2 linked regions of the Daphnia pulex genome follow. The protein of the gene in region 2 interacts with the protein of the main gene of each other region in a pairwise test. Links are inferred from orthologs where the notes say so. Each region holds a gene or a part of one and is shown on either strand. Other genes may lie near its edges.

Region 1 (15,094 bases), on a different chromosome or scaffold from region 2:
CTTCCGGGCTGATTTGACGCAATTTAACTGGCACCGTATTACGTTGGCCGGCCGGATCGAGGACGATCACTTCAGGAACGCCTTTTCCCGCATCTTTTGTGAAGATGTCGAAATAGGTGGGTCTATTGACGACAACTCCCTCCGGCTCCAATCCCGGTCCGGATGCAGTCACTTTGGATGCATCGCCAGCGTGACCCTCCACTTTAACTTCAAACGGCGATTTGGGAATATCCAATCCGTTGTATTTCACCTAAACGTGAAAATGATTTAAGCATGTGAGTGATTTGTAAATAAATTGTTTAAGTGAGTCTTACGATGACGCGGTGAACACCTTCCATTAGAGGCGTGTAAGAGCACGCGTACGACAGATTGCGGTCGTTGTTGAACTTGACCTCAGCCTAGAAACGCCAACAACATTTTTATTGGACCAATTCAACTGGAATTTATGAGTCTAACTAACTTACAGCGATCTTTTGACCGCGGGGATCATCCACAGACACTTCGACATTGCCTTTACCGGCCGAAAAGGTTTCGACGGTGAAATTGGCTGGTGCTCCGACAACGGGGCCGGTTGGCTCAACACCGGGACCGTAAGCACGGACCCTATTGTTATTGGTTGTGTAAAATAAAAACCAGAATTAATTCAAAAATCCAAGGATGAATAATGAGAAACTATACAGGATGTACAATTTGCGACGACACCAGATACATGCTGTCAATAAAGCCGTGATTGATCTAGATATTACTATAACAGTCGCAATCGAGTCTGCTTTAAAGATGACATATGACGAGGACGAGCGTTTACATTTATTAGAGCTCTTGATTACGGATATGATTGTTGTTTTTATTGATGCGCTTTTTTGAATAGTTTTGGTTTTTGTTTAAAATTTTAAAAAAGATCTTTGGTTTTGGCTTGAGATAAACCACGATGCGGGACTATCAGCGGTTCGACATGCTGATGAAAGTGTGAAAATATGTAGGGTGATTCTCATGTGATTTCACGAGGCAACAGATAGCGAGATAGAACGTGATAGATGAATTCACGGGCAGTAGTAGTACCTGGGTGGAGCTGGTCTGAATATTCAAACACACGCCCACGTGTTTCGCAATGATTTAATACCGTTCGCATTAAATTGTCACGCGTACCGTTCGCGTAGAGTTTAAAATATGGTCGCAAAAATAAAAAAAGAGAAATAAGAGAAAAACATCAATACGAGTTACCCCAATTTTTCGTCCTGTTTCCAAAATAATTCAAATTGATTTAAAGAAAAGAAAAGAAAACTGCCACACCGGTTGGCCGGTGATTTACCTGTTGGGATTGGCTTTGGGGCGGAGAGGGGCGTTGGGTTGCAGTTTGGCATTTGGGTACTGCGACAGGTAGGTCATCATGGAGAGTTCATCCACATTGGGGTTAACCATCTCTTCGGGTTTGACCAGCTGGAAAATGTTTTGGGTAAACGCCATATTTGTGAGAGAAGGACGGATGAAAGTCAAGACAAATGGCGTCTAACATACCTGAGGGATCTTGAGCCAATCGTCGGCCAAGCCCATGGCTTCAGTCGCATTCTGTAGGGCATCTTTGGGATCCCAATCGCTCCAATCGGGACACAAACCTGTTCCACACGCACCAAGACAGAGAAAGTATGAATATATACGTCAAACAAAATCAAACAGACAAAATCGCGAAATTCTGGAAATTCGTACCGGGAGCGACACCGTCAACGAGGGCACCGATGGCGCGTCCATCGTTCCAGTCATTGGTGAAATTGGTGATGGGCATATCGGGGATCTTGGACTGGATCCATCCCATCAATCTGTTGTTTTTATCCGATTAAAACACACAAAAGACATGATTTATGATAAAAGCCGTGTGCGATGATTTAGCGATAAGCCATATAACCATATGGCGAGAGGAAAATAAAAGAAGAAAAGAAAACGGAAATCTGCATAGAATATTGGGCGAGTTGATTTCGTACCGTTGCTTGGGCGTAGGTCCTTTGCCGTCGCGGCTGCCGTCGTCTCCTTCCCACATGGGCATCGAGATGGAATAGTGCAAGATGAGCGTCCATATTAGGCCAAGGATCAATTTTAATTTGCAGTCGACGATGTCGCTGGAATCTGCACACAACAGAGAACGTCATTTGCATTACCACAAATGTAAATTGTACGGCAGCTCCAGCCTATATACAACACGCTCAACCGAATAAGGTGGCCACACGCGCGCGCGCTCGCCATCCAGCCGTATATCCAAATCAAAGAAATATTCGGTTACGCGTGACATGTCCATAACGAGGTATATAGAACTTGGGGGTAATAGAAATAAGGAGAGAGACCCATATACATATCACAAGGGCTCCATCTTGCCCCTGTGTATATGTCATGACGACGGCCATAGGGAAAAAAGTGATAGACGTACACTATGCATAATCTATGTAGGAATCGTTGGCTTTCCAAGCTATCCACGAATAAGCTGCGTGTCGCTGTCCTCCGATGAAGGAAAGAAAAAGAAAAAGGTAGAACCAAAACCCAGTGGGTCACCTCAGCCATCGCCGGCATGGCCATACAAGGCAAAAGTTGGGACTTTTTCTTCTTTCCTTTTGGACGTCAGTCTGTCGGTAGACGGCCTTGCCATAGAGGGTAGTCCTCTATGACCAAATATGGCATTCTAGCCCCCTCTTTATTCTGGGGATGGTAAAAGGAAACATTTTCTTTCCCTGTGATGACGGGATGACGGCGATGATGTCGATCCCGTCGGCTTTCGGGAGAAAACAACAACAGGAAAATAAAAAGGCGTCGATCTTTTCCCATCTAAGGTTACCAATGCTAGAGGGGTGGCTCGACGTGACGTTTACAGAGTAGTTTACATGTTCGGAAAAAAAAAGGGAATAAGAGCGCGACATGTTTGACTGGCCAAACGACGGACCACAACACACACGCACAAAAAATAGCGCGGTGAAGTCTAAATATTCAAATGTCTGTGTTTTTTTTTTCTTCGTCTTCTCCCATCCATCCATCCATCTCCAAATAAAGGTAAGACTGAGTGGGCGCGAAATCCAACTCGACGGCATTACTTCTTTTTTTTTTTAAAAAGCAGAGGAGCAATGGGTTCGGGCGGGACCGCACAGAACGTATATTTCAATCCCGACAGCCGGAAGGTGTTATCTGCTCCCAAACAAAATCACGAAGAATAGACAAAAAAAAAAAAACATTCGAGGAATACGGACAGGTATTTATTATTATTTTCTTTTTTTCTTATCTCATTACCCTAATCGAAAATATTTCGACATACTTTGCATTAGAATATGATGCATAACTGCTGCAGACTCTTATTCCTCGATATGGTCAAGTGAAATTTCGGTTATTATTTATTCAAAACGACGAATTTGTAAACAAACCAGAAACTCAAAAGGGAAAAGCGTTTTGTTATGGTTGATTGTTGCTGACTGCTGCCGTTTTTACGACTATTTTTCAATTCAACCCGAGAAAGAGAGAGAGAGAGAAAAAGACTTGATCGTTCATTGACGTCAATACAAGGATTTGACAAAACCGCGGGCCTGCGACCTCGGTCCATTTCATTGTACACTGTCCCAGCTGGGAAGAGGTCGACAGTATCTCTTGTTTAAGTATAGCCATTTCTTATTTACCCGCAAGACTTTCACCCTACTCGCCATGTTTGAATGAACGAGCTAGCTAGCTAGCCACTCCTTGTAGGGTATTTCTCATCCGCACCATTATAATAATCTTCATTCAGCCAATAGATCAAGTTAGTGGCGGAGACTGAAGACTCTGGCGGTGGGTCCCGGTTTTCTTTTTCGTTTGTTTGTTTGGTTTGGGTTTTTGTTGGTCCACCTCCAAGCCGGACGACAGAGCGAGGACGAAAAATGCAGATTATACATCTGTGGGTTTCTTCATTCGGCAATGATTGGAGGAGTATATAAGAATACCGAGAAAAAAGAATCAGAAGAAAGGAATGATAGAAAAGAAACAAGTTGCAGGTGACGTCGTCTAGCGCGGGCACGCATGCGCCCCGAGAGAGATCGAATAAGGTCGGTCGGGAAAGAATCTGTTGACCTTAAAAGGAGCTGGAAACACAAGTCAGCAAAAACAGCCATGGAACAACTCTCCCCGCCTATATATTGACTGTAATTTGTAATTTTCTTTTTTAGTTGCTATTTAAAATAAAAAGTCCTATAAGCGGAGTGGAGCACATAGAGAGGGACTGCATTTTCAATGCAGCTCTCAGTGGCTCACTCATCAGCAGTGCTGTCCGCGCGCTCTTTCTGCCGAGCCTGTTAGTGGCCCACTTGAGAGCGAAGAAAAAAAGCTAATTCTTTTAATAACAATATCCAGAGTAGCCCAGGCATCATCGGCAACCACCAGCCACCTATATGCCCAATATGTGGAGAAATGGAGTGAAATCGTGCACGTTGATTTTCTCCGATGAACTTGTCTGCGGGAAAAGGGTCGATGGCAGACTGCTGGCGAACGTGACTGGCGACCGAGAGTCCGCGTTTTCTTGTTTTTTCTGTTTATATTGCAACAACACTTTTAAGTAATGCCATTTGAGATGAAGTTGGAAGAAAACGATTAACAGCGCTAACCCAGCGTCTGTTTTCTTGCGCTTGTTTTTTTTTTTTTGCCGAAATATTATTCACCTGCATCCCCGGCACCATATATGTTTTGGTTAACCGTTCTGGTGTGTGCCTTGCCATTTGAATTACGAAATCAACTGATGGTGTGATCTTTTTTCTTTCTCAAAAGCCGAGGGGGTTATAGAGAGGACAAAAGAAGCAGAAGAAAAACACCGGCGTGACTCGAAGATTTGTTGCGTTTAACTATACGCAAAAAAGAAGGCAATCATCACGGCACCATCGTTTAGAACACAGCAGGGAAAGTTTCTAATCTCTTCTTGTGTGCAGTGTGGTACGTGTTTCTCATGCACAGCCGAGATTTGAATAATCTGGAAGGAATGAAGTCAGTCAATGGTGCGGCCGCATTACCGCCCCCTCAAAAGTCCCGAATCAAAATGGAAGAAAAGCCGCAAATAAATTTAAGCAATTTCAATGAGAAACGTCGTCGCAATAAGGCGCAAGAAGAGGCCAATAAATTCGTAAAGAAAACAAAAGAAGGAAATGAGATAACCGTCAAGACTTGCGTGCAGTCTCCGACCTGCTGTATGTTTGCCAGTAACACAATGAAGTGAATGGCAACAACTGGAGGAAGACTATATACGTATTAGTAGACGAAATAAAGCCAACAGGAAAAATATAAAAAAAATAAACACGAAAAATACAAACAAAACAACCAAACGAAAAAAACATGTTTCTCTCCCGTTTTGTGGAACCAAATAAAATAAATAGCATTGGATCAGCAGGTCCGGGATACGGACCATAATGGAAGCCCACGCAAAGAAACGCGTGGGTCTTTCCAAAACAAAAAAATTACATTCAATCTGTTACGAGTCATTTGTCGTCATATTTTATAGACAAAAAAGGAAAGAAATTCCTTCAGGCTTCAATTGAAAATTGTCCATGTTTTATTGTGTATAATGCACACCGAGTTCGAACCACATGAGAATAACCCAGGAGCTCGCGATTGTAATCGACCTCCTTCTGTTCCGCCGCAACGCCGCATAGAGGAATTTGCGGTTATAATATTATACTGGTGATAATAAATTGTGCTTTCAAGAAGGGAAGACATTTTTTTTTTCTTTCCACAAAAATAAAAACCACAATGTCATAATCATGGAAACACAAAACTGGGGCTATTTCGTGTAGGTTTTTTTGTTTGTTCTTGTCGGACCACGGGCGATCGTTTTGAAATAATTTGACTTGCAGCTTCTCATCCAGACTCCCCTACGTGCAGATGGAATTATACAGCCCTCTCTACTGATGCTCCTGCTGCTGCTGCAACTACGTCTTGCGGTACCTATTATTGTTATTACGGGCGCACTGTAAAAGGTGGCGTTGCGTGCGTAACGGGACGCACGCAACGCAAGCGAAAGGTGTACGCTGCTCGCCCTCTTAAAGTAGGTTATATGCCGGCCAGGGCAGCCTCCCTTCGTCTACCATAACAAACTAGACGGGCAACGCAAGAGAGAATTTAGAGAATAAAAAAAGGAAACATCATGAGGAGACCATATATGGCCACTAGCTAGCGAGGGTTCTTTTCTCTTTGTCAAACTCCGCCTACTTTTTTTTCTTCTGTATCCACGGAGGAAGAAAGAAGAAAAAGAAGAAGAAGCAAACGAAGAAGAAGAAGAAGAAGAAGCGAAGGATAAAGAATCTCTCTCCGGGCAATAATTCAATGGCACCATTGAACGCCCACTCGACGAAAAAATAAAAAAGGAGAAATAGAAAACAACCAAAATACGCCAACCCAATGCGTGAGTGTGACCACTAGGAACGCAAATGGATGTTTGACAATCTCGGGAGGGATTTGATGATGCCACATGGGCCGTTTTTCACACATCAAGAGACGCGCGTAATCCAAGGCAATATAAGAAATCCCAGATTGACAGCTAGCAAGAGAGTCGACCATCGATGCGTCAACTGACCCTTTTCTTCTTCTGGCTCTTTGGAACGGTACCAACAGCCTCTGACCGTCTACGTCAGTTCCATCCCACACGAGAGAAACTTTCCCTTTTTTTTCTATTTCTTTTTCTGGTTTTGTTGATATTCAACGGCGTGTGTTTTATTTCCTGGAGGTTTTTTTTTTGGTTTGTTGCCGGCGTATTTTATTGCGTGTCTTCTTGGGCTCCCACTGAGTTTTGGTTGGACAATCGCACGATGGAAGAGAATAAGCAAAAACAAATTGATACGGGAGGCGAGCGATACGGTCCATTGTATACCATCCAGCGAGGAGGTCCAATCAATGCATCCATGACTGGAAAAACTGGCGATGGTGTGCTACACACACAAAAAAAGAGAAGAACGATGCCAAATTCCGTAGACGGTGTCTAGCCAGAAATCACGCAATCATTTTCCTGGGGTTTCTTTTTCTGACTTATTCCCCCCACCATTTTTCCCGATACGGTCGAGACAGCTGCTTCAAAGACTCTCCCTCCCTTCTTAGAAGCTGCCCAGCGTTCGGATTGGACTGCGACGATGATCCATTCACTGATGAAAAGCCTGGGCGTATTGCAGAATCCCTTCCGTCCGCTTTCTTCTAAACATCCAACAATTTTTTTTTTCATTCGCATGGTCCCGTTTTTTTTTCCTCTTCTTTTCTCTTTACCCCCGCCGCTTATACAAAGTCAACAGCACGGACATTCCGTTGGTATTACGTCGACCGTTCAAACAATCACACAAAAAAGGGCGGGTTAGAAACTGGCAAAACCCGCCGACCGGTCCACGGACTTTTTACCAGATCAAAACCCTCCCGTCAAGCCCAAAGATTCCAGTTCACAAGCTAAGCAGATAACATGTTCGTACTATAAAAAAAAATATAGGTGATATCCCTGATAAGAAATCATAGTTGGGGGTTCTTTTTTAGTCGTGTTGTTGCTGCTCTACAGCGTGCACGTGTTGACTTTAGACCATAAACAGTGCAAAGAAAAACGGCACCGAGGAAACCAAAAAACAAACGCTGCCAACCCTGCCGTAATAAAATGCTGGAAGGAGAAGAACCAAGAAGAAGAAGAAGAAGAAGAAGAAGAAGACGTGGTTGAAATAACACATAACGCAAACGATGGGAGCGCGTGAAGTTTGGCAGATGTTTCCCTCGGTTATATACTCAGTCACGATTTCACCTCGACTCTTTTTTTTTTGTTTCGTCTCTTCCATCCCAGAGGGTCAGAGAAATGTTCCGTTTCTCTGGTTCTCTCTAACTATTCTCTGACTCTCTCGGATGTGTGACATTGAGTACGGCGGATGCCCGACAAATTGATTTGAGGGGAAACAGAACAAGAAGAGGCTAATGTACGGAACGAGCGATGACTCGTAACAAAAAATAGCCAACAATACCAAGCAAATGGTCAGTTGGAAACGAGCGGAAAAGAAAGTGGGACGAACAGAAAATCCACAGAAAAATTACGGAATAAAATTTAAAAATAAAAATAAAATGGGACTCACCAATATTGACGATGCGGATGCCTTCGTCATGCTCCAGGAATTTCAGAGCCACGGAAACGTTCTCGAGCTTCTGCGAACGGAAGGTGGGTTTCTTGGTGTGCTTGGGCAATTTCTTGCCGGACAAGACTTCGACGAGGGCGATCAGTTTGAGTCCGTCCGACAGGTCCGTCTCCAAACTGCCAATGAATTTGTCGACGGTTTTCAGGTGCTCGTTGGCCCATCGTGTAAATGTGTTTTGCTGGATGCGCTTCCACTGGGCATCCTCGGCCAGATCTCGTTCCGTTGCCACCATGACTTGATCGTCTTCGGCGCTGCTCTGTTGTTGATTGCCTGCTCCTTCTTGCTGTTGAAGTTGCTGCTGCTGCTGCTGATGCTGCTGTTGTAACTGGCTAATGACGGACGAGACCACCTGCTCGGCCGGGCTGTCGCGGGCCAAACTGACATCTCCTCCCTGTTGACTCATGGTGTAAAGCCTGTAGCTGCCGCTTTGCTCCCGCCCGCCGGGCTATTCAGATAGAGGCCACAAGACCAGAGTCGCACACACACGAACACACCGACCGATGGGTTCGGTCCAATCACGCTTGTCTCTCGGCTTCGCTCCTTTGGCGATTCAATCGCCACCTGTTGAGTCTAATTTCAATCGAATTCAAAAAAAGACCATTAATTGTGCAACATGACGCAATATTACCTAATAGCGGAAGAAATCAAAGGAAACCTTGAACAAACGGACGAAAAAAAATGTCAGGAAATTAGTTTCTAGCTTTTAGAAAAGAGAAATATCTATTTGGGATAAATGATTCATTTCGTTGGAATGGAAACAAAAGAAAATAGGAACAGATTGACGGGCGTGGTTTGGTGGTGGCACGTTTATCCCCCCCCCCCCTCTCTTTCATATTTTTCCGTTTGGTTTCTTTCCCCCCTCCGCTTTAAGGATGGAATGAGAACAGCTGGATCACTTATAAGCTCGCCGCTAAATTTAAAAAAAATTCGTCATTGCCGACGACAGAAACTACAGCACAGAAAATGAATGGGGTATAACAAACGAACGCAATGTTGTAATCCAATCACCACCTGCGGTAAAGCAATTACCTGTCAACTGGTACATACCAAAATAAGAAATGATTAATTTGATTCGTTTCTGAAAGCCCAAAGGAGTAGTAGGTTAAGTTATTTCCTACAGCGAGTTATTATTCTTCCCCAAGACAGCAATTAAGCGCTCGTATCTGGGCTGCTTAATGATGTTATTTTACCGGCAATTTCATTTGGCGAATGCGTTTACAAAAAGGGGGGAAAAAAGTGTAAAACAGTAGTAGGTGGTTTGTACGTCAGCACTCTATCAGATTTGGGTCAGTCGGCAGGATATTGCCGAGATTTCGGCTTTTGTTGCCAATCTTCTTTTCTTCGTTCATTATTACAACAACTTGTCTTCATTTTTCCTTCGCTTTTCATTCCATAAAAGGACTCTGACGAATTGATTGCCCAACATTGCGGAATGAGCCCTAAAGCCGCCTTCTGCCGACATGTTCATCTTCATTCCTCTGCTGACGTGCATACGAGATGCGTGCCCATAGATGGCGCTGGCGGCGCCAAGCGACACCGATTCCGGTACGAGGATCGGCCAGGACCGTATCAACAAACAGCACAAAAGTTGATTGGATTCCACTAACTTGTCACGTCTTGTCATCCGTGTAACTAAGCGCCCTCGTCGTCGTCATTCCATTGACGACGACGCAAACAAACGAGGATCCAATAACGAAATGGAAGAATTTGTCTGTTTTTTAAACACAACAGAAAGGAAGGTGAACAAAAAAAACAATGTTAAAAGATTCTTACGGAATTGACGGTGACGAATCCTTTGTTGGTTTGCTAAGAATATCCGATACGATTGTTTTTTTTGTTTTTCTTTTTCTCCCCCGATCAATCTCCGTTTGTTCTGGGCTTTTACCGACCGGGAACGGCCCGATGCTCTCGAGAGGGGCAGGGGTGCTGCAACTCTCTGGACCAACTGGACCAACACAGACGCAAAACGGCTAATATGGCAAGCGTTTACCCTCACTGCACGGCACGATGAGAGCGAATGCGAGAAAAAGTGGCGTGTGTCTGTGTCGACGTCTGTTGTAGACAGAAGAGAGAGCGAAAGGTTTTTTGGTTTGTAGGTTTTTCGGGGTGGTGGGAGGGCTGCGCCGTCGTTTCTCTTATAATGTAGCCGCTCCGGACTACTCTCTTGCATAGATCCCGTTCGTCTCTACGACGGATTTTTTTAAAAATAGCCCACGCCATCACCGTTTCAGAAATTCTTCGCCATAGCGTGCGCGGGTGGAGGAGGAGGAGGCGGTAGAAGGAGGGGGGGGGGGTCGTCGTCGTCGGTAGGAGTGAAGAGAGACATTCCTCCCACACCGACTGACAACAGCCCCCGAAAAGAACGGCAGAGGTTAGGAAGTGGTACAGCACATAGGAGGCAGTTGGGAAAACAAAAAAGATGAAGAGAAAAATAAAAAGGAGCCGAGGGGAGGTGACCCCACAGTCTACTTATACGGGGATGATTCATTCACGGTTCGAAACGTATATCGCTATGACGTGCAGAGCAACCAAATAAAAGAGAAAAAAAAAAAGACACATACCTTAAAAACTGAGAACTGTTGACAAAATCGTTAACTCCGATTCGGAAAGACCTTAAATGGGCCAGGGAATTCGACGTCTGAACACGTCGTTCGAAATTGCCCTCCTCCGCACACGCACAACTTTAATCCAACTACACCGACAGACAAAAATGTCGCGGCCGCTTCCAGTTGTTCCGTTACGTCTCACCCGCTCCTCACAATCGACTGCGACAACAGCGATAGACGACGACGGCCTCCATCGCTGGCCGTCCCGAAGGCTGTAAGGCATTTTCAGCGTTCGGTTCAGCGGACCACGATGATGTACTCTCTCCGCACCTTTTCTTCTCCCCTTTCTGAAACAATAATACATTATTTACGATGTTGGAACTCGACTTTTTCAAAAAAGGATTTCCTTCTTTTTTTTTCCATCAAAGAAAAGCTACGCTTCTATTCTACACAGACACTCAACGTCTCACTCTGCACGCGTGCGTTATTCTTTTTTTTTTTTTGTTCCCCGCGTTCTCCTCTCTCCTCCGCCGGAACGGTCGATCCTTATATAGACGCGTCGAGGGAAAAAATCTCTTTTTGCCCGCGCTCGATGTTCAAATAGGTGAAAAAAGTACTTACACTCAACACGCTCAACGACGCACCACACACACACACACACACAGAACCAACGGCAACAGCATAGCCGAGCGCACGGCGGGATTTCATTTCCAGCCGTGCACGATTGTCCAGCTGGCTCTCGGCTGGTCATCATTCCACATCAAGTTTGACCAAAAAGGAAGGCAAAGAAAATCTTGGATCGTAACAAAAAACGATGAATAATAAAATAACGGAATTTCATACGAATCGTGCTGTGCGCTATACTCTTCAGTGTCGAGTGGAAAGTTACGAAAACGTCGGGGATATAACCGCAACTCGCTTTCGCTGCCACCTTGAACTACAACACGAAGAAACAGCATATCATCTATACTTACTTGCATGAGAGAAGAAAATGTACATAAAAGTCGTTCCGATCCGCTTCACGAAAACAGAACCGATACGATTGTCTTCAGATAATCTTTCGGTTCCGCAGCGCGATGAGCATCAATACTCGGTCATAGATCCAGACCAAGAAAGAAAAAAACAAAGTATTGTATTGTCTTGTTAGTTTCTTTTCATTTTCTCTTCTTTCTTTTTTTTTTTGTTGCTGATGTTTAATGGGGCGAGTTAAATAACAGGACACGGGGCAGGGGCAGGTGGGATAGTAAAGAGAGAAAATGGGGAGTGTGTACAATATCCGTAGAAGAGGACTAGACTACAAAACATAGAACATGTTTGTTGTTGGTTGAAATTTTTCATAAACTCCTTAAGATCCGAGGCCTCCCAGCGATGGTTATCCATCTCGCCGGACGGTTATCCGCCAAAGACCTTAAGGAGGAAACGTGACACAAAACTGGGGAGCAGAACGAGTAAATCAATGACCCATCAAATCAATATTATGTGATCCACTCTTACTCTTTCAAGTCGAAGACGCGCGAAGCTGAAAATAATGTCGTTGGCTGGTGAGAAAAATATTAAACTTTCCCTCACACACAAGAGAAAGATGTCGACGATAATGAGCTGGTGGATAGACAGAGGTAGGACGGACAGCAAAAGAAAAAAAAAAAAAGGAAGAAAAATCATTGAGGGGAGCCTATTATTGCACGCCAACTATGCCGTAAAACTAAGCATTTGAAAAACAAAGAGGAACAACATTCTTCGGAGGGGTGTGTGTTTTGTGTGACAGTAGAAAATCATGGAGAGAGAGAGAGATAGCAAAGGAAAAAATAACTCTGCACAGGTCCTGTTAGAAGGTGGAGGAAAGAGGATTCGACTCTCCCCCTCCCCACCGACGTTGTACGTTTTACATACACACACAGAAAGGAGACTAAGCCATTTTCTGTAGCGTTGACGGAAAACACACACTAGTTAATGACATCACTCTTTTGTCATATTGATGGCACTTGGTAAAATTAAAAAGCTGCTGTCGCTAGCAAATATGTTTCAAAAGAAAACACGAAAAAAGGGATATTATCTGCATATCCCGCCATTTGCGTAGATAGAAGTAATTGAAAAAAAAAAAGCTTACAATCGGTAGAAGAACAGGAAAAAAACAATTGATGATGATGATGATGTTTTTGTTGTTGCTGTTATTGTCTCTCTCCTTATTTTTCTTCCGTGTTGTCCGGCAAAATCTCTCAGGGCTCGAATGTAGCCGTCAGCCGCGAGAAGAAGCGGTAGAAGGCCAGGAAGAACGAGATGAACAATACGAGCAAGGGCATGAGACACAACGCCGTCGCCTACAGAAAACGCGCAGACAAACACGAAAAAAAAACAAGAGGCACAGCAAAAAAAAAAACAAAAAAAAACAAACAAACAGAGAAAAAGAGAAAGGAAAATAATCGATGGATCAGCTTTTTTTTGTTCTCTAATGTCCACCGTTAGCATAAATTTCTTACGTCAATGCGGTGTTAGTTTAAGACGAGAAAAAAAAATGAAAGTTAAAGAATAAAGTAAATCGAAGCAAACATACAGAGCGAAAAATGTTTTGTTGTTTTTGTTTGCGTTGTTTTTTGGCCACGGATATTGAACTAACAAAAACAATAAATTCATCTCTAAAATAAATTTTGAAGGCACATAAACACAAGTCGACGAACGAGAGAAAAGAAAGCCAATAATAAGAAGGTAACAAATACAGCTGAAGAAAAAAAATGTGAGAAAACAGAACCTAAGCGAGAGAGAAAAGGAGAATCCAAAATCAAGCAGACTATCGAAGAATTCAAATAGCTTCTTATTTGTTTTGTGTTCAAATCCTTTTCTTATTCCCTCTTCGTTCAGTTTCACGTGAGGAAAAAACAAGAGTTGACGGACTCTCAGCTGACAAAAAGAATATGTCTTTTAGAAGGCACACACATTTAGTTTTCTAAAGGAAGACAAAGGATGAAATAGAATTGGTGCTTCCCCTTTTCTGTCTTTTAATTTATCGTTATTTCAATCCGATGGCCTGAAAGCTATGAGGACCGCCAAGACAAGGACGGCCAACGGGACTACATACATCCAGCGGCCAACCTAGAAAATGCATTCGGCATTCAAAAGAAAAGAAAAATAAAGAGAACAGAAAAGAAAAAAGAAGAATGGATGGATAGAATTATCAACGAACCAAAGAATAATGAAGAAAACTTACAAATTAAAATTGTGCATAAAACAGTGAAAGAAGATTTGGAAGAAACGGAGACTGACTGGACTTACCGTTTTTGACTGAGAAGATAGTAACGAGTAGTTGTCCTTTAACTGGGAGAATTCTTCTTCTAGCTCCTTCTTTTCCGTTTGTACATTATCGTAGTGGCGCCGTAAAGCTTCGAGTTCGTTTCGTACCTCAGACAATTGCTTAAAATAACAAAAACAAAAAAACATAAATTAAAAACTGTGCCTCAAGAAATTTTCAAATAAAATTTCGTTTTACCTGCATGGTAACATATTCTTCCGAATTAGCATCTTCTCCGGAATTAAGTTCCCGGATGCCAGAATCTCTCATTTCAGGATCACGGGAACTCGGTGGATTACTGATTGGACTGCTAAATCCGCTAACCACTCCACTGTCCCGATTCTCTACGCTGAGAGCTAGCGACTGGTAGGCTTGTTGCCATTTCTGGCGTTCCTCAATTTGCTCTATCCTCGACACTTCCATCCTAAAAATAAATAAATAAAAAAGGTTAAATAGAAAATTAATTATGGATAGAAAATGTTTTCTTGTTACTCTTTCAACTGGATGGTGAGGATAGCAACTTCGTCCCTGAGATATTCCAATTCTGAGGTTGAGCCTCTATGAGCGGTGGTTTCACTGACACGATTGGCTTTCTCTTCCTTTTCGTAATTACTTAGTCGTACTGAAATATCGTTGTTGCAAATGAAGTATTTGGCATAAAAAAGTGATAAAAAAACTCCTTGCTTACAGGTCAATAGCGAAATAAGATCCTTATTCTTCGCATTAGCTTCTCGAAGTTCTTGGTACTCATTATTGAGTGAAACGATACTGGAACGGACGAGCTCAGCGAGCTCAGATGGTTCATCAGCGGATTCCTCTTCCTGCTCAGATGAGCCTTTGAGAACGTTGTGCAGGTTTCTAAAGTATTGCTGTAGATGTGCGGCTGTAGACCAACCATCTTGTGCCTCTAGCTGCCGTCTCTCCACTTCTGACTCAAGTACACGGCACTTGGCGCGCGTTTCTTCCAAAAGCTCTGCACCAATCCAAACAAAGGAATAACTTAGCCATCATCCATTTTCGTAGCGAACAGCTAATGTAAAGCTCGACGCGATCAATTTAGCAGAGTAGAAAAAAGAGACAGCAAATGTTCCATGTCAGCCAAAGAAAGAGAAAAAAACAAAATGGGCAAGCAG
Region 2 (15,136 bases):
TCTACGCGGAAAGAGAGAGAGAGAGAGAGAGGAGAGAGTGATGACGTGGTTTTCCGGTCGTGATCTGTCTGACACGGCGGAGTGCTGGTTTATACAAAGCTGAAAGCTTTGCGCTGTCGTCGCCCTCATTCCGTGAGAGATTCAAATGATTGGTGAATATCAAAAGGAGTCTGCGTGTGTGTGTCTGTGTCTGTCTGCTCTTCTTCTCGTCAAAGAATGGAAAGTGAAGCGCCATCACATCTACTTGAAAATGCGATTAATATCAGCTGGCCCCTCATTTCCTCACACCGTTTGATGAGGATCAAACGTTGGCGGGTGTGCTGACCTGCACGCCATTCCTCGCCGAAAATGTTTCCTTCGTTTCTTCAAAAAGGGAAAATAAAAGAAGTTTTGAATGGAATGATCTGAATCGGCGAGAAAAAGTGCCAAAACAGCAGGCCAGCGACGAGAAGATGCAGCAGCGCTTCTGTGCTTTGCACCACTCGAGGCCAAATGATTTGGACGGAGATGAAAGGAAGGGTACTTAGGTGTAGACTGTAGTAGTACTACTACGCTACTACCACTACTATACACACTCCCGATGATGTATTCGAGCTTATAGCGATAGTGGGAGGAGGGCTGCCAATCGATACGAAATAAAGGACTTTTGGGTGAGAAAGGAGAATCTCAATGGGCGCTCGATTATATAATATATTCCCTACCTACTGAATAGAAAGGATACCCCCGCAGGCGTGGTGGGGAGAGCGTGTCACGAGGATCAATTGAGAGGCATATACACAGTATCTACGGTAGTGTTCGGGAGCCTATCGGGTCCTTATGAGGAGCTATCCAGAAGAGCTAGGGTCCCTCTACAACACTCGGCAGTATAGACTCGGTTGTCATTTGCATCTATATTGCCTGTTTGCCGGGGGATGAGTCGTTGCGTGAGAGAGGCTCTTCGTTGCCCCTCTCTCTCACCTGCATCGATATATTCTCTTTGCATGAAGCGTGGAACCTTCCACCTTGATGGGCTCGCTCTCTCAAGTTCCATCAACTCGATGGGCCTATTTGAACCTATTGACTCTTTTTCTCCCTATATTGTATATTTTTCCATTTTCTCAGGAAAATTGGAAGTAAGGAAAAGTGGAAACGAGTCCTGCCACTCCATTACCCACACAAAAGACATTGACTTTCATCAAAATGAGAGTCGGCCCTCAAATCGATTGCCAATGACTTTTTTCTCTCCGAAAGAGATAAATCTTGTTTGATTCTTTCCACCGAATATAATCAAAGAAATCAGGTTTTTTTTTTTTTGGTTTGTTCACCCGGCGTTATTCACTGTGTACACACACAAATCCAATGGCTCTAATGTAACCAACCGCAAAGAAGCAAAACTGGGAGAGAAACCCGCATTTCCTAATGCTCCTTTCATTTCTGATGGACTTGAACCATTCCTCAACGTCGGAAAGCACTTACAAATTGTTTGGGATCCTTTTTTCTTTCCATCCTGCGTTTGTGTTTGTGTGGGAGTCCTATACTTTGATGTGTGTATATATTTAACACTTTGAAAGTGTCTTTCTCTGTGTAGGAAGTACTTTATCGTAGGTAGTGTCTGCTGCTGGGCTGCTGTACTAGTACCTAGTGAATATATATATATCGCAAAAACAACTCGAACCGCCAACGTAACACGGTAAAATCTCTGGGGATTTGATGGACTTTTTGGGTTTTTTTTGCTTCGGTCGAAAGGTACGATCAATATGGTTGCCAACTTTAATATGATAGGAACTCTCTATATAAATATACACGTACGCTATAGACAATGCTGTGATACTTGTATATTTATATAGCTAAAGAGATTTGAAGTTGACCGTGATTGGATTCATCACTGACCGGGAGCTTAGAGCTAGGCACAGAGTCCATCCCTCCTCCCCTCTCACATGTCATATGTTATCATTTGGAATACAGTCCGAGCGGATTTTCTATCCCTCCCCCTCTCTTTTACACTATTGCGGACGACGAATGGTCATCGTTATTTATCGGTTTGATTACAAACGGCCGAGGATGATTCCACCCCTCACCCCTCCAGGCCACATCAACTCGAATGTTTCTAAACTCTAACGTTAACTCGAACCGTTTGATTGCAGTGAATTTTTGAACGGGGCTCCCTTTTTTCTTCTCCCTTGCCGATGATGGCTAATGCGATTGATCCAAATCGTGTTACACACCAGGGAGAGATCAGGTCTCCAAGTTGACTCAACGCCTATCGGCTGAATCAACAGACGGAGAAGCTGTCGGGAGTTTCTTCTTTCCTCCTATGTTTGTTGTGCCCCCCCCCCCCTTCTATAACCTTTTATCTTGTTCCCTGCGCTGTTGTACTACAATATTGGACGCGTCAATGTTTTGTTTGAACAAGGCCCAGAATTCAGCCGGGGGTTCGTCGTCGTTCAAATGATTCCTGCAAATATTCGGCATATAAGAGGGACATCATGGCCAAGTTTGACAAAACTTGAAGGGCAAGGGGCGGATTGGATCGTTTCGTATTCTTGTCCTGATGGTCGTCGATTCTATCTGGAACTCTGCAAGGAGAGACTTGTACCAACTCTCCATACATTTACACAGACTCCCCCTAGCTCCTTTTTTTTGGTTCCGTCTCGTGACTGTAGGCAGAACGGTTGATTGTCGACGGCAGACAGGACAGTTGGGGTCCGTCACAGTTGTATCTATCAGATCCAGGAGCCATGCAAATGGGCGACTTGGGCGATGTTCTCAATCCTGGCCAACTTCATAATTAGATTTTTGGTGGTGGAATAGAACAGCCAAGTCTCCACTCCGCTCCGCGCGCGGTAGTTCCGGCAGACCTGGCAGCAGCAATCAACCGCTCTTACTATCTGGTCCTCATCATCGACACAAAAAGATGGCCCCTCCATTCTTCTCTCTCTTTTTTAATTTAAAAATAAAACTTGAAACAGCGGTTCATGCTATCCAAGCGATGAACGCACGATACTGGCCACTAGCGTCGCTGTTGCGCGTTCTTGTGTGTGTCTACGACTTGACCATCTGCTCTTGTTAGCAACTTGTTTACTTCCCACTCTATTCCATTCCCCCCCCCCTACCCGGGTATACATAATGCGATAGATGGCATTATAGCCTCCTCTTTGCAGGATACATATCGACCCCTTTTGTATTTTTGGTTGCCATACACAAGCGAATGGCTTTTCTTTCGCTGTGGGGTTCTCCCCTCCCTTTCCACCCAGTTGGGCTTCTTGGATAACTTTGAATGTCTCCAACCACCTAGAAAAATTATATTGGTCTGCCCTCCCCCCCACACAACGTGATGATGTAACGACAGAATCATCATCTCGGTAGGAGTAGACCATTTCTATTATTGTTACCTGCCCGCGGTGAATGCTGGGCGGTTGACAAAAGCGGTCCGCCGTGATTTATTCCGAGCCGTTGATATTGATTGCGCATTGATCCCGGCAACGGCGGGCGACATCCCGGGGATCAAGAAGCGAGATTTTGATGGGAGGAGGGTGGAAAGGATAGAGCTATAAGAACAAACGAGATTATACCGACGGAAAGAGAAAGAAATCCGCTGCTGCTGGCCTGATCGACCGCACGGGACGATTTGTTTAATACCGATCCGGGAGTCGGGGACCAACAACAGCTGGTGTGTGTGTGTGTGTGGTATCGGCGATTTGTGTACAAGATTGCGTTCACCATTTATAGACTGGGAATATGCTAATACGGGAAACTATCACGATTTTACGTCGAGAGTCCTGAGACATTGAACCGGGAGGGAAAGAAACAAATGAACAAGTTGTCGGATGATTAGATTTTTTCTGAGAATGTCAGCATCAGGAGCATTCTTAATAAGGAGGGAAGGCATTCTTCTTTCTTGCACCACGTAGGTTTCCGGGTTCCTTATAATATGAAGGAGAAATACTCGACGACTCTGCCATTTCAACAACAGCCCAAGCCTTTTGTCTTTTCTTCATTCTTCTTCTTCTTCTTCGGGGGCTGAAGAAAAAGAAGAATGCGACGAATATCTATTTCTGTCTATCGCGTAGAGGCTAAATGAATTGAGATTGCGTCGTGATGAAGAAGAGTCAGAGAATCAAGGTACCCAGCCCACGATAGTCTCTGCTAGTATTATATGGAGAAGAGTGCGGATCGATATCTCATTCTGAACCTCTTTTTCTATTTTCCTTGTCTTCTTTCCTTGTGTTTTCTTCTTTTTATCAGCGCGGGTAGGAGGGAGAAAAAATCCTCCTCACCCCTCTCCGATTGGACGTATCCAATCCGGATCGGATGGATCTGTAACTCTGTAAGATGAAAGAAAAGAGAAGTCGGCGACTTGTCGACCGAGGGAAAGAAAAAGACGGAAAACAGATGACAAAGCAGCAGCAGCATGCCCAAAGATAAAAAAATATAAAAAGCTTCGCGAACACAATACTGTGCACACAATTCCATGTGTGTGTGTGTGTGTGTATAAATCACGTTTGTATCTCCCTCTATTCGACTAATCTTTTGGGAAGGATCACACACAGAAAAAAGTAAAACCTTTTCCCATCTAGTTGAAATGTTTTTGTCGAGTCAACTGGCCGCCTTGAATTCGATTTTTGCCCAGTGGGGGGATCGTAGGGTCCAAATCCTTACGCAACCTATTTTGTGGAAAGCTTATACAGTCCCCCTTTTCTCGAAGCTGTTGAATCGAGACTGTTGAATCGCTATATATAGTCAAAAAGGATCCATGCTTGGATATTATGTTGCTGGACGCAAACAAGGCCAATTTCCGCCGACCAATCATCACAGGGAGGCCTTGGAGCTACAACGCCTTTTAATATTAGGAATGGATGGGGGGGTTGTTGTTGTTGTTTGGTGAGAATCGATCCGTCGTCGAATAGATACACAAGATTGAGGACCGCGACCCCGCCATCATTCGATATAGCCTTTCTGATTGAAAGGAGATGAAGCGCGTCGATTCTTTTGTTTTTTGTAGGGGGGTCTCTCCTTCATTGCAGACACTTTTGATGCAATTCTCCATCGACGACCGAAAAAAAGGGGGGGAAGAAAAACTCTAATCGATTATCGATCGAATTTGTTCTCTGAAATTGTTTCGAAAGTTTTAAAAACACCAGTGAGAAATTTTCCTTCTCTCTTGTTCTCACACGCAGGGCGTTGTTGCTTATAATACGGAGGGAGCCAAAAGTATAGCGAAGGGATCTATTATATATCCGGCTGACGCGCCGAGTCGGTGTATATGTTAGCGAAAGGGAAACAATAACAAAACGGGTGAAGAAGACGAACAAGACGCGTGTTTTCAACAGGATATAAAAAAAAAAGCGGCGCCGTCGACCCAATCACGCGTTCCTTCTCCCCCCACCCCCCACTGGAAGCCTGCTACTCCTCACTCTAATTCGCAATTTCCGTCGCTTTTTTTTCTCCCTTCTTCTTTTTACACCAGACGAGACGCCCCCACATCAACTCCCTCCTCTCCGCTCAGACTGATTTACTAGACGTTCTTTTTGCGTACCGCCCCCGGTGTATAAATCCAGGATTCATACCCGTTTTCCTTCCGCACCGCCAGAGTCTCTAGAAATGAATGTCACGAGTGAAAGCTGATGACATCATCACCTGATGTATCATCATCAACTTGGATTTGATTTGGGGAAAAAAACTTGGCTTATTGTATTCAACGCGCGAAATCTGATCCTGGTGATTCTTTATCACTCGACTTTTTTTTCGTAAATATCGTCGACGGGATTGTATTACGCACAAGACGGTGGCTTTGAGAAAACGAGCTTTGGCGTACACGCTAGATGTGTATGGGGGTAAAGGAGATTGCGTACGCGATCAAGCGCGACCGTTCAATTTGTCATCTTTTTTTTTGAAGATTCCGCGGGTTTTACTTGTGTGTGAATTGGGTTTGAGTGGCTCCCCTGTAACAGACGGACGACCTTTGAAAAGCTGCGAAAGGGTTTCGATTTTTCTTTTTCAAACATGGAAAAAAGATCCAATGTGTGTGTACACACACAGACACTATATACTATTACTACTATGACTACTATGTGTGTACGAGTGAGGAACACATACGAGTCTTGGGAGCTTCTTTTCGGCGCTTCGCCTTGCGAGAGAGGTTCCTCCTTCTATTGAAAATCAGCCCAAGGGCCAGAACGAGGGTTCAGTCGGCTTTAGCCTCTGTCAGAGTCGACACTAGCGCGTTCCCGCGTTCGCACTTTGAAGGGTTTTTTTCTCTTCTTCTTCTTGCTTCCTTTTATTGTACTGTGCCGTTTGCCATCCTCGCGGCTGTCATCAGGTGTGTTTGGTAAAAAAAAAGGGGGAACAAGTCGAGAAGCCGTCAAAAATCACTTTATTCTTGTAACTTTGTGTGTGTGTGTCTGCTAGACAGTGAAGACATCGGACAACGGGTGGAAAATAAAAGTTATTTTGTGTGTTTATCGAGCGGGAGTCACGCCGTCATTTCGTGTAGACCAGCAGCGACGAGTTGTTTGCCAACTAATATCATCACCGGACGTGTCATTCTTCTTCTTCCCGTTTGAATTTGAGTGATTTGATTGTTTGGAAAAGGGACAGCCAACAAATAAGTGAAGATAAAAACAATTGACAGTCCTCGAGAAAAAACAACAAAAAAGTTGTGGGTCGTCACGTCGGCCAGCGACGACGGATGGGATGATGTCTTGGTAAGTTGTTGTATAGTCGATGGAATTCCAGGCTCGCCCGTCATCCGGTTTTTTTGCGCGTGTAAAAAAGGGGGGAGAAAAAATGAAGAGTTTTAATCAGTGCGAGGACGGATGCGATCCGTGAAATGAGACGTTGATTAAGTCGATCCTTGCTCGAGCTATTTGGAATATGCCACAAGTTTGGCTGCTGTTGCCAGAGGGGCCTGCTGTGAGGAGGAGGTGGTGACTGGCCGGCCGAGAGTTTATCGCTGATAGCAGCAACACGAACAGAGCAGCTGTTCCTTTTGATTTCATTGGCCCGAGTCATCCGTCCGGACTGTTGACCTCTTGACCGTGTGGGGGGGGGCTCCTTCCCTCTCTGTCTAATATTAACTGTATCACATGCACCACAGTAGCCATCGATGTGTTTATTATACAGAACGTTATTGATATTATGTATAGCCGACGCTGTGCTAGATTCTCTGTTGACATTTATCTCGATTCTCGGTTATCGCCCCGTTTCCTCCGTTTTCAACCATCAAAACAGCGAAAAATTTCGATCGTAACGGATGCTCATGGGAGGAATTGTTATGACCTGATTATGTCACAATTGACTTGATTTATCTTCCCATTGAAAAACATTCGAGTTGATTGTAATAATAGCGAGTCAGCATCACAATTCGATTTGAAGCTGGGCCAAGATTTTCAGAGGCGACTAATCAGAAATGTCTTTTTGGAAAAAATTTTCCTCTTTTTGTTGTTGTTATTGTTATTACGGAGGCAGAAAAGTTAAGCCAAAGTTGGATTCTTGTTTTGACATCCCCCCTCTATATACCCGTCGTATCGCACGACACCGAAACAAACTTTTCCTTTTTCCTATTTTGTTACACGGGGGCTTCATTTGAGCTCCTTCAATGACACCGAACCTCCTCTCGCACTGAAAAGTTATGACGTCAGGTATAGCCGGGCCGCGGTGGGCGTCTCCTGCTGCGGGATTCCTGTCCCGAAACGGAAAAAAAAAACAACATCAGGAGCGATCGTCGGCCGCAGCTGCAGCGGAAACAAGACGAAAAAGAAGAAGAAAAAAATAGGGAAAAATAGAAAGGAATGCATGTTCCAGCTGGGTTAGAAAGGAGACGAGCCATCTCTTATATACAGGATAGTCTAGTATAGGTTGGATGTCGAGAAACAAATAAATAAAACATTGGGAAGAGCGCGCGTCCGGGGGATCCGGGTTTTTTTTTCGGTACATTGAAAAGGCAAGATCCTGTTGCAGAGATGCAGGGTTCCCTCTTTTTGTGTCTGTTTGTTCAACTTGATTTTCCCGCTACTTTTGACTTATCTACGTGCGCAGTTCATTTCCTATTTTTCTTTCATCTTTTCCCCTTGATTTTTTCCTTATTTGAATATTGATATCCGCCGTAAAAAGTCTCGTATTCAGAGAGTGGCGATGCTCATTAAAAATCTAACCGACAGCCAGAAGTTTGTTGCACACTCCCTTTTTTTCCCGAAACAAAAAATAATTCACTCATTCCGGAAATTTCAATTAAAATAAACACAAGCGTATACCGTAGTACACCCCCCCCCCCCCCACTGCTCTTTTTGTATGAAGGGGGGTAGGATCGTGTCAAAGAATAAAATTTGGGGATCATCATCATCATCTCTTGAATGTGATCCTTTCTCTCTGCGCCATATCCCCTGTTCAATTCCCGCTCATGTTGATGATGAATAATCGATTGAGACAGTGAGAGACAGACAGTCGTTGTATTCCCATCGGTTGCCACACACACACACTCGATAAGTCCTCCCACCACAGAGGCAACGTCGGGGAAAAAAGGGGGAAAGAAAAAAAGACATCTTTCCTCGTCAGACGTTGTCATCATCATCATCATAGGATTCAGTCGCATCTCTCTCGGATCGATGTCTAATTACCAGTCGACGTTCATGGCGGAGAACATTTGCGGATGAGGGAGAGCTAGAACCTATTCTCTTTCTCTCATATCCCCGGGAGAGAGAGAGAGAGAGAGAGAGAGAGAGTCAGTCGAATGTGTACAACAAGAGGAGCAGATATATTTATATAGAAAGAAAAGAAACGCGAGGAAGGATCGCTAGGTTGATCCGTTGATTCCATCATCATCATCATCGTCGTGGGCTAGAGAGAGAAGAAGGAAGACGATTTCTCCACCACCACCGAAAGGATCGTCCATCTAAACAGATTCCTATTAGCTCGGCTGATGACAGAATCGATCTCGTAGAGTAGAGAAAGCTCTTCCCTTAATTCCACCTCTTTTCTCATCTTCTGCCTACCCCCTTCACTGGGGAGGGGGCCAAAAGAAATCGTTTGCTTAGCTCCGCCAGGTGTCGTTGCTCCGCACGATAGAATAAATAATAACTAGACTAGGCACAGAGGAATTGAAAAACAACTGTTCGTGTAATCTCTTTTGTTTATTTACCTTTTTTCGTGCGGTAAACAAAAAAAGGGGGATGCTGCTACGTGGAGACCACGCAGGTATATATTCTAGTGCAGATGACGGTTGTTGTAGTCAGCTCTGTACTATGTCTTGCAGCTGCCCTGTCTGTTTTGGGGCGGTTACTATGGGTCTTCTCCCATCGGGACCGTTCGGGACAGGCAACACACGGCGGAATATTTAACCAAGTAGAAGTCGATTCGAAAGGACAGGATGAGTGCGCGACAGATTGGAGGAATATAAGTAGAAAAAGAAAAGAAAAGAAGTCAAGCGGAATCGATAAAAAAGAACGAACGATGGCCCGCCTGTCACACAGGTTCTCTCTCTTCTTATGTTTTCTTCCCCCCAAAAAAACCCCGTGTGTGTGCCATTTGCCTTGGGTACCATATAGAGTTGACTCGGCTAGTAGTAGTCAGTCCCGTGCAATTTGATTTTACACGTCACTTGCTTCGCTCCGGCGATGTGTCCTCGTGAATAAAGGAGACACACATAAAAATATATACAAATACATACCGGACAAACCCTCTACTACGAATGAAAGGGGAAGAAGAAAAAAAGCTACAACCACGAAATTTCTGCATCCGCTCTTTTCCAGTGCGCTGAAAGGCGGTGGAAATGTTATATAATCAAATTTTCACGAAGTCAAAGAAGAAGAAAAAAAGGAGATGGCATTTCCCTTTTTTTTCGTGAACCAACTCATTAATGCCTGCCATATTGCACACACGACGACGTGAAATCTTTTTCCCTCTCTTCTTGTTGCTTGAACTGTGTGTCGTTCCATCATATGGCCCCCACCTCCCGACTGGCAATTAGTCATGCGGTCGTCGGTTCCGGTATTATAATGAACGAGGGGCTATGATGGAAGAGCAGAGTGTATTTATATGGAGTGGGGGGGATATCATAATATCAAATGAGCACGTCTGTGGGTTCCTTCCTCCGACCACCCACACCCCACCACCGTCACCACTCGACGCTCAAACAAATTAAAATTTTCTCTTGTCGGGAAATATTTATTGTTTTCCTATTTCTTTGTCAACGTTCAAATTTCCCGAAATGTTATTTTTCTGCGAAAATATTTCTGTTTTTTCAAAAATATTTTATCTACTTTTTGGTTGTTGTACCTGCTGGGTGTTCCGTCGCAGTAGCTGCTGTGGCCCTTTTTTTTTATTTATTTAATGGTATTTATAATCCCGGATAAGATTTTTTTATTATTTACTGCATCTCTCCTCTTGTGTGTTTCTTTTTCGGCTCCTTTTCGGCACGTCAAAGTAAATTTTTATTTTTACGAGATAAAAAAATAAGCGGCGAAAGTTTGAGAATGAAAATATTTCAACACAAAGGAGAAACGCAAGGAAAAAGGTTTTAGTTGTTGTCGGTGTCTATGTTAACTTTGAGTGAACGCTCGTTTCTTACACCTGTCTGGTTTTGATTTGATTAGAAAAAAAAATGTGTTGAGACGTGGAATTCAAAAAGAGACTTTTTTTTCTCGAAAATTGTTTGTGTGTATTGTCTAAGGCTCTTCTTCGTCCCTCCTTTTAGTAGTCGGCCAAGAAAAACTGTTTTAATAGCCCCTCGTATGGGGCTTCAAATGCTTTTTCTTCGCAAAGGTGTTAAGTCCCCATAGGTCTCTTGTATCTTCTTCATGGTCTTAGAAGAAGAACTGAAGACGAAAAGGGGAATGATTAGCTTAACTTGGTAACACACGCGAGACAAATAGGATTAAATAAGGGAGAAGAAAAAAAAAAGAAACATTGTACAACCCTTTTAAAATAGTAGCCTAGAGCTAAGACTCTTTGCGTGCGCCAACTTTGTTACCTTGATTGTACACCCTATATTTATACTCCCGAAGAAAGAAAAATCACTTTTGATTAAATGGAAATTTCAATTTTCTTGATCAAATTTTAATGGCTTGTTGTCTGTGGGACTTTGGGACCTCAAATTTTTTTTCTTTTCAATGATTTTTCAAGAGTCTCTTTTAGTTTTCAACCTACTCCCTAATAATATTCTTCATACCAGATTGGTTGAAAAGGTCTAGTTGATCTGGGGTCGCGTTGGGGCCTATTTGTCTCTCTCCCCTCTCACAGTCGTCCACCAATTAAGGAGAGAAGAACTTGATTAACTTTTTCGTGTGTGCCGTTCGTCTGTGTGTGTGTGTGTGGGGGGGGGGGATATATTTTTTTCACAGGAAAGAGGGGAGTTGTGTGTCTGGACGGGCGCGAAAATCAATCGATCCCGCCAAAGAGAAAGAATCCTTCTAACTGGAGACGATTTTGGTTAATTATTGGGGATGAAGCTCTTGCCCAGATTCGCTATTATCTTGTAGTGATTCCACAAAGATGATGATGATAAAAGTCCTTGCAGTTTTTAGAAACTGGACGATCAATCGACTGGTTTAAAAAAAAAGGGAGAGAAGAAAAAAAAGAAGAAGGGAGCGTCGTCGGGACTGAAAGACGTGATCACCATTGAAATTGCGTCTTCTTCGTTGGTCAGAGAAGACGCGACACATTTCCCTTAATCTCGTCACGTCGGCTTCATGGACCCGACAATGGTGCATGCTGGACTAGAGGACCCTAGTTGGAATAAGAAGAGGGGGAAAGAAGAGGCTGTGCTGAATCGAATGCAATCAGCCGTTTGGCGGCTTCCTCCGGAGAAAGGGCTGTACAGGAGGGGGGATGGATGGATGGATGTTTTTTTTCTTCTTTTATTTCTTCCCTCCGTTCTGCCCAGGTTTCAACAGCAAGCCAAACACAGTGTATAGCCCAGGGAAAGTCGGCTTTATACTAAAGTGACTTTCAAAATAATGAAATGCGAATTGTGTGATCGATTTATAGTTTAAGGTACATCCGTCGTTCCGCTCCCGTTTTTTTTTTCTCTTTTTCTTTTTCCCGCCGACAACTGCCGAGCCATCAGTTTCTATTGGACATGCAAAATAAAGAAATGTAAGCAAGTTGTGTGTAGGCGTCGTGTTGTCGTGTCCTCCTCGTTATACAACTTTTGGGAATCTTCTTCTTATTCTTGTCAATTGAATTTCGTCGGCTCCTTTTTCAATTGTATCCTGCAGGCCAGAATTTGGTATTCACGTATAGTATAGACGTGTACGAGCCATACACTCGTATAATATGTGTATCCATTCGTCTCTCTCTCTCTCTATTCGCTTGATTTGTGTGCATTGTACGACGACTCGTACGTCCATCCAGTTTGAGTGTTTGGAAGGAATAGAAAGGCGACTGGATGAGGAGGGGGGGGGGCCTGGTGTTCCACTCTTGTCAGCACTGAATCTATTTGAATCGATCAAGTTTGTATAGGAGAGACGTGGGTCTCGGAAAAGGCGCCCATTCGGCATATCTGCCTACGCCGACTCGGATGTGTGTGTATGTGTGTGTATGGAACGTCTAGTATTGAGACAGATAGCCGTGCTGGAAATTTCGAATCCACCCAAGTTCCATTCCATAATATAATACAGAGATGTGGAGGCATCACAAGAGGACGTCGAAATTGAATGTATAAGAAGAGTCTGAGGCGCATGGGCTGAAACCAACTCGATTTGCCATGGAACTGCGGACCCTGTTTCAACATTTAAATACAACGTAGATAGGAAAGAAAGCCATCCTACAACACGGATATATATAGATGGACAAACTCAATAATAAATTTATTTCCAGTCGACGATTTCATGTTGCGTTCCACCACTAGAGCAGCGCGGACGGACTAAACTTTGATGACAAAGAAAATTGAAATCCCTCGGACCAGGAATAAACAAGTCTGTGACTTTTTCCTTTCTGACCGAGAAAAGTTTTTACACGTTGAAAGATTTATCAATGTTGGGATAGTTTTGCGCCAACTTTTTCCCCCTCCGTTCGATAGAGCATCATAAACCGCACACAGCATTCAATCAGTGCGTTGTAGAGAGAAGGTTACCTTGTTAAGGGCGGCCGTCAGTTCTCCTATAATGAGCTGGTGGAAGATGATGAAGCAGCGTATAGTCGCCTATATAACCATACAGAGCGGCTGATGTTTATCTTTTGGGTTCATTCTATCATATTGCATTGACGCCACGAGCACACACACATGTGTGCTCGGGCTGTACCCCTTTTCTTTTCTGGATGTGATTAAAAGAAGAAGAAGAGGAACAGTGGCAGCAGTTCAGTGGTGGTAGTGTCTGGTTATTATTATCTGCTTCTTCTTCTTCTTGGGCCATCAGGAATGAAAGGCGCCACAGAGGATCTAGCAAAAAGGGGTGGAGCTTTGGTTGCCAATCATATCTTTGATGAATGGGAATTGTTGGTGCAGCCCCGAGCAACAAAAGAAAGTCATCACAGTCAACAACTCTACTGTAGTACTGGCATTACGTCTCTATACTACACACTTCTTCTTTTTTTGATGTAGTATATTCCATTCCGTACTGAGAGTCGTTCCTTTGTTCTCGACTCTTGCCAGGATATGTTATTACATCAAGATATTACTATTTTTAAAGACTAAGACTACACCAGAATAATCTGAATGGAAGTTGATGTCGGCTGAATAATCGATGATCAGTAGGCCGGATCGATCGATTTCCCCCCTTTTATTTTTTACTCTCAAAATAAAAGAAAAGTGGTGCTCGCGATTCTTTCCGAGTCGAATGCTGTTATAAATGTAAGTGTCGAGCCCTGTGTATATGTAGCGAAGCCGGCGGGAAAAGGGGCGAGAAGAAGAAGAAGCGCTATATGGAAAGTGTCGACAAGAAAATGTCGACTGTCCTTTCTCCTCCGTTTCTTCTTCTTCTTCTTCTTCGTTTTTGATCGTATACAGTCAAAAGTGCTCGAGTGGTGGTGTTGTTGTCTTCTTGAAAGCTCTCTCTTGTTCTCTCCCCCCCTCCAACTCACGAACGCAACGATCTACTAGTCCTCCTCCCACACGGACGGTATATTCCCGGGCGTCCGTTAGACTCCATCGTACGCGTCGCATTAAAAACATGGGAGGAGGAACCCCCGTTGTACGTGCTGGCACAGCGCCAATCTTTTCCCCCTTTTTTTCTACTTTTCGAAATCTTTTTTTTTTTTTCCGAAATAAATACAAATAGTAACTGCTGTATAAATAATAGTAAAAATATTTACGAAGCGGGTAATAGCGTCATCATCATATCACCTTCTCAAGTTTGAGGGGAATTTCTTTCACTGTAACGCGGGGACGAGGGGAGAGAGAGAGAGAGAAACTGCTGACGTCGCCATTGATCAATGTCACTCGCCTGTCGTTTTTGATAATGGACCGGGTGCGGCAGCAGCAGCAGCAGCAGCAACCCACATATATCCACTCTTCTTCTCTCCTAGCGCAAAGTTTTGTAATAAAAGGCGCTGACATGCAGATTGCAGCTCGAGGAATACATCAAGACGAAGAAGAAGAGAGAATCAAATCTTATTTACTAACGCAGTTTTGCCCGTATGTGGGTTGTTAGTGTATCCATGTTATTCATTTGATGACGGAATAGGCCCTTTTTTTTCTTCCGGAGAAGAAGAAAAAAACAACCTTATTTGGACATTGTTGTTTACCGGCGTGTAAAGCTAAGAAGTGCGAGGGCATAAGGTACCATTAGACGCAAAACTGTGGTGTTTGGTTGAATGGACTTGAATGTTTACGCAACTGAACGGGAATAACGTCATTGGAAAAGACCATGGGTAAAAAAGTTGACAACGAGAAACCCATCCTCAGTCAGTTTTAACTTGGGAGAGATTATTTCTTTTTTTTTTTCAGGAGAATGTATTCCATCATCTAGTTAGTTTCCCCCTCAACGCTTCTTTTCATTGGAAGATTCTTTTGAATCCAATTTGTTTGTGTTTATCATTTCGCGGGTGAAATGTTGTTTGCCACTTTTTCTATTTTCAATCGACTTGATCTAATCTCATTCAGATCGCATTCAGCTGCTGCGGTGGATCATGGACATGAAAAGTCGGATGGTTTATTATTATCTGAACTTTTTTGGCTTTAGCCCAACGATAGATGACGAATGAATTTTCCGCGGTACAAACA

The links.
Region 1: the proteins of teneurin-m-like (region 2) and filamin-A-like interact in binary tests that used the Drosophila melanogaster proteins (3 or more experiments, as listed by UniProt). The link is inferred for Daphnia pulex from reciprocal best matches to the Drosophila melanogaster genes Ten-m and cher.

The regions. Positions count from the first base shown.
Region 1 is NC_060020.1:2,401,194-2,416,287, forward strand, and holds the start of filamin-A-like, read right to left. Parts: upstream 10,895-15,094; 5' UTR 10,694-10,894; intron 10,188-10,693; exon of another isoform or gene 9,906-10,187; intron 8,703-9,905; 5' UTR 8,536-8,702; coding exon 8,073-8,535; intron 2,119-8,072; coding exon 1,977-2,118; intron 1,815-1,976; coding exon 1,705-1,814; intron 1,614-1,704; coding exon 1,516-1,613; intron 1,438-1,515; coding exon 1,310-1,437; intron 1,075-1,309; coding exon 1,060-1,074; intron 604-1,059; coding exon 465-603; intron 399-464; coding exon 315-398; intron 251-314; coding exon 1-250. Other genes in the region: sarcolemmal membrane-associated protein-like, read right to left, coding at 12,895-12,996, 13,946-14,083, 14,160-14,385, 14,454-14,583, 14,650-14,934. UniProt on the Drosophila melanogaster protein: Involved in the germline ring canal formation. May tether actin microfilament within the ovarian ring canal to the cell membrane. Contributes to actin microfilaments organization.
Region 2 is NC_060019.1:8,397,951-8,413,086, reverse strand, and holds the start of teneurin-m-like, read left to right. Parts: upstream 1-6,159; 5' UTR 6,160-6,683; intron 6,684-15,136. UniProt on the Drosophila melanogaster protein: Involved in neural development, regulating the establishment of proper connectivity within the nervous system. Acts as a homophilic and heterophilic synaptic cell adhesion molecule that drives synapse assembly.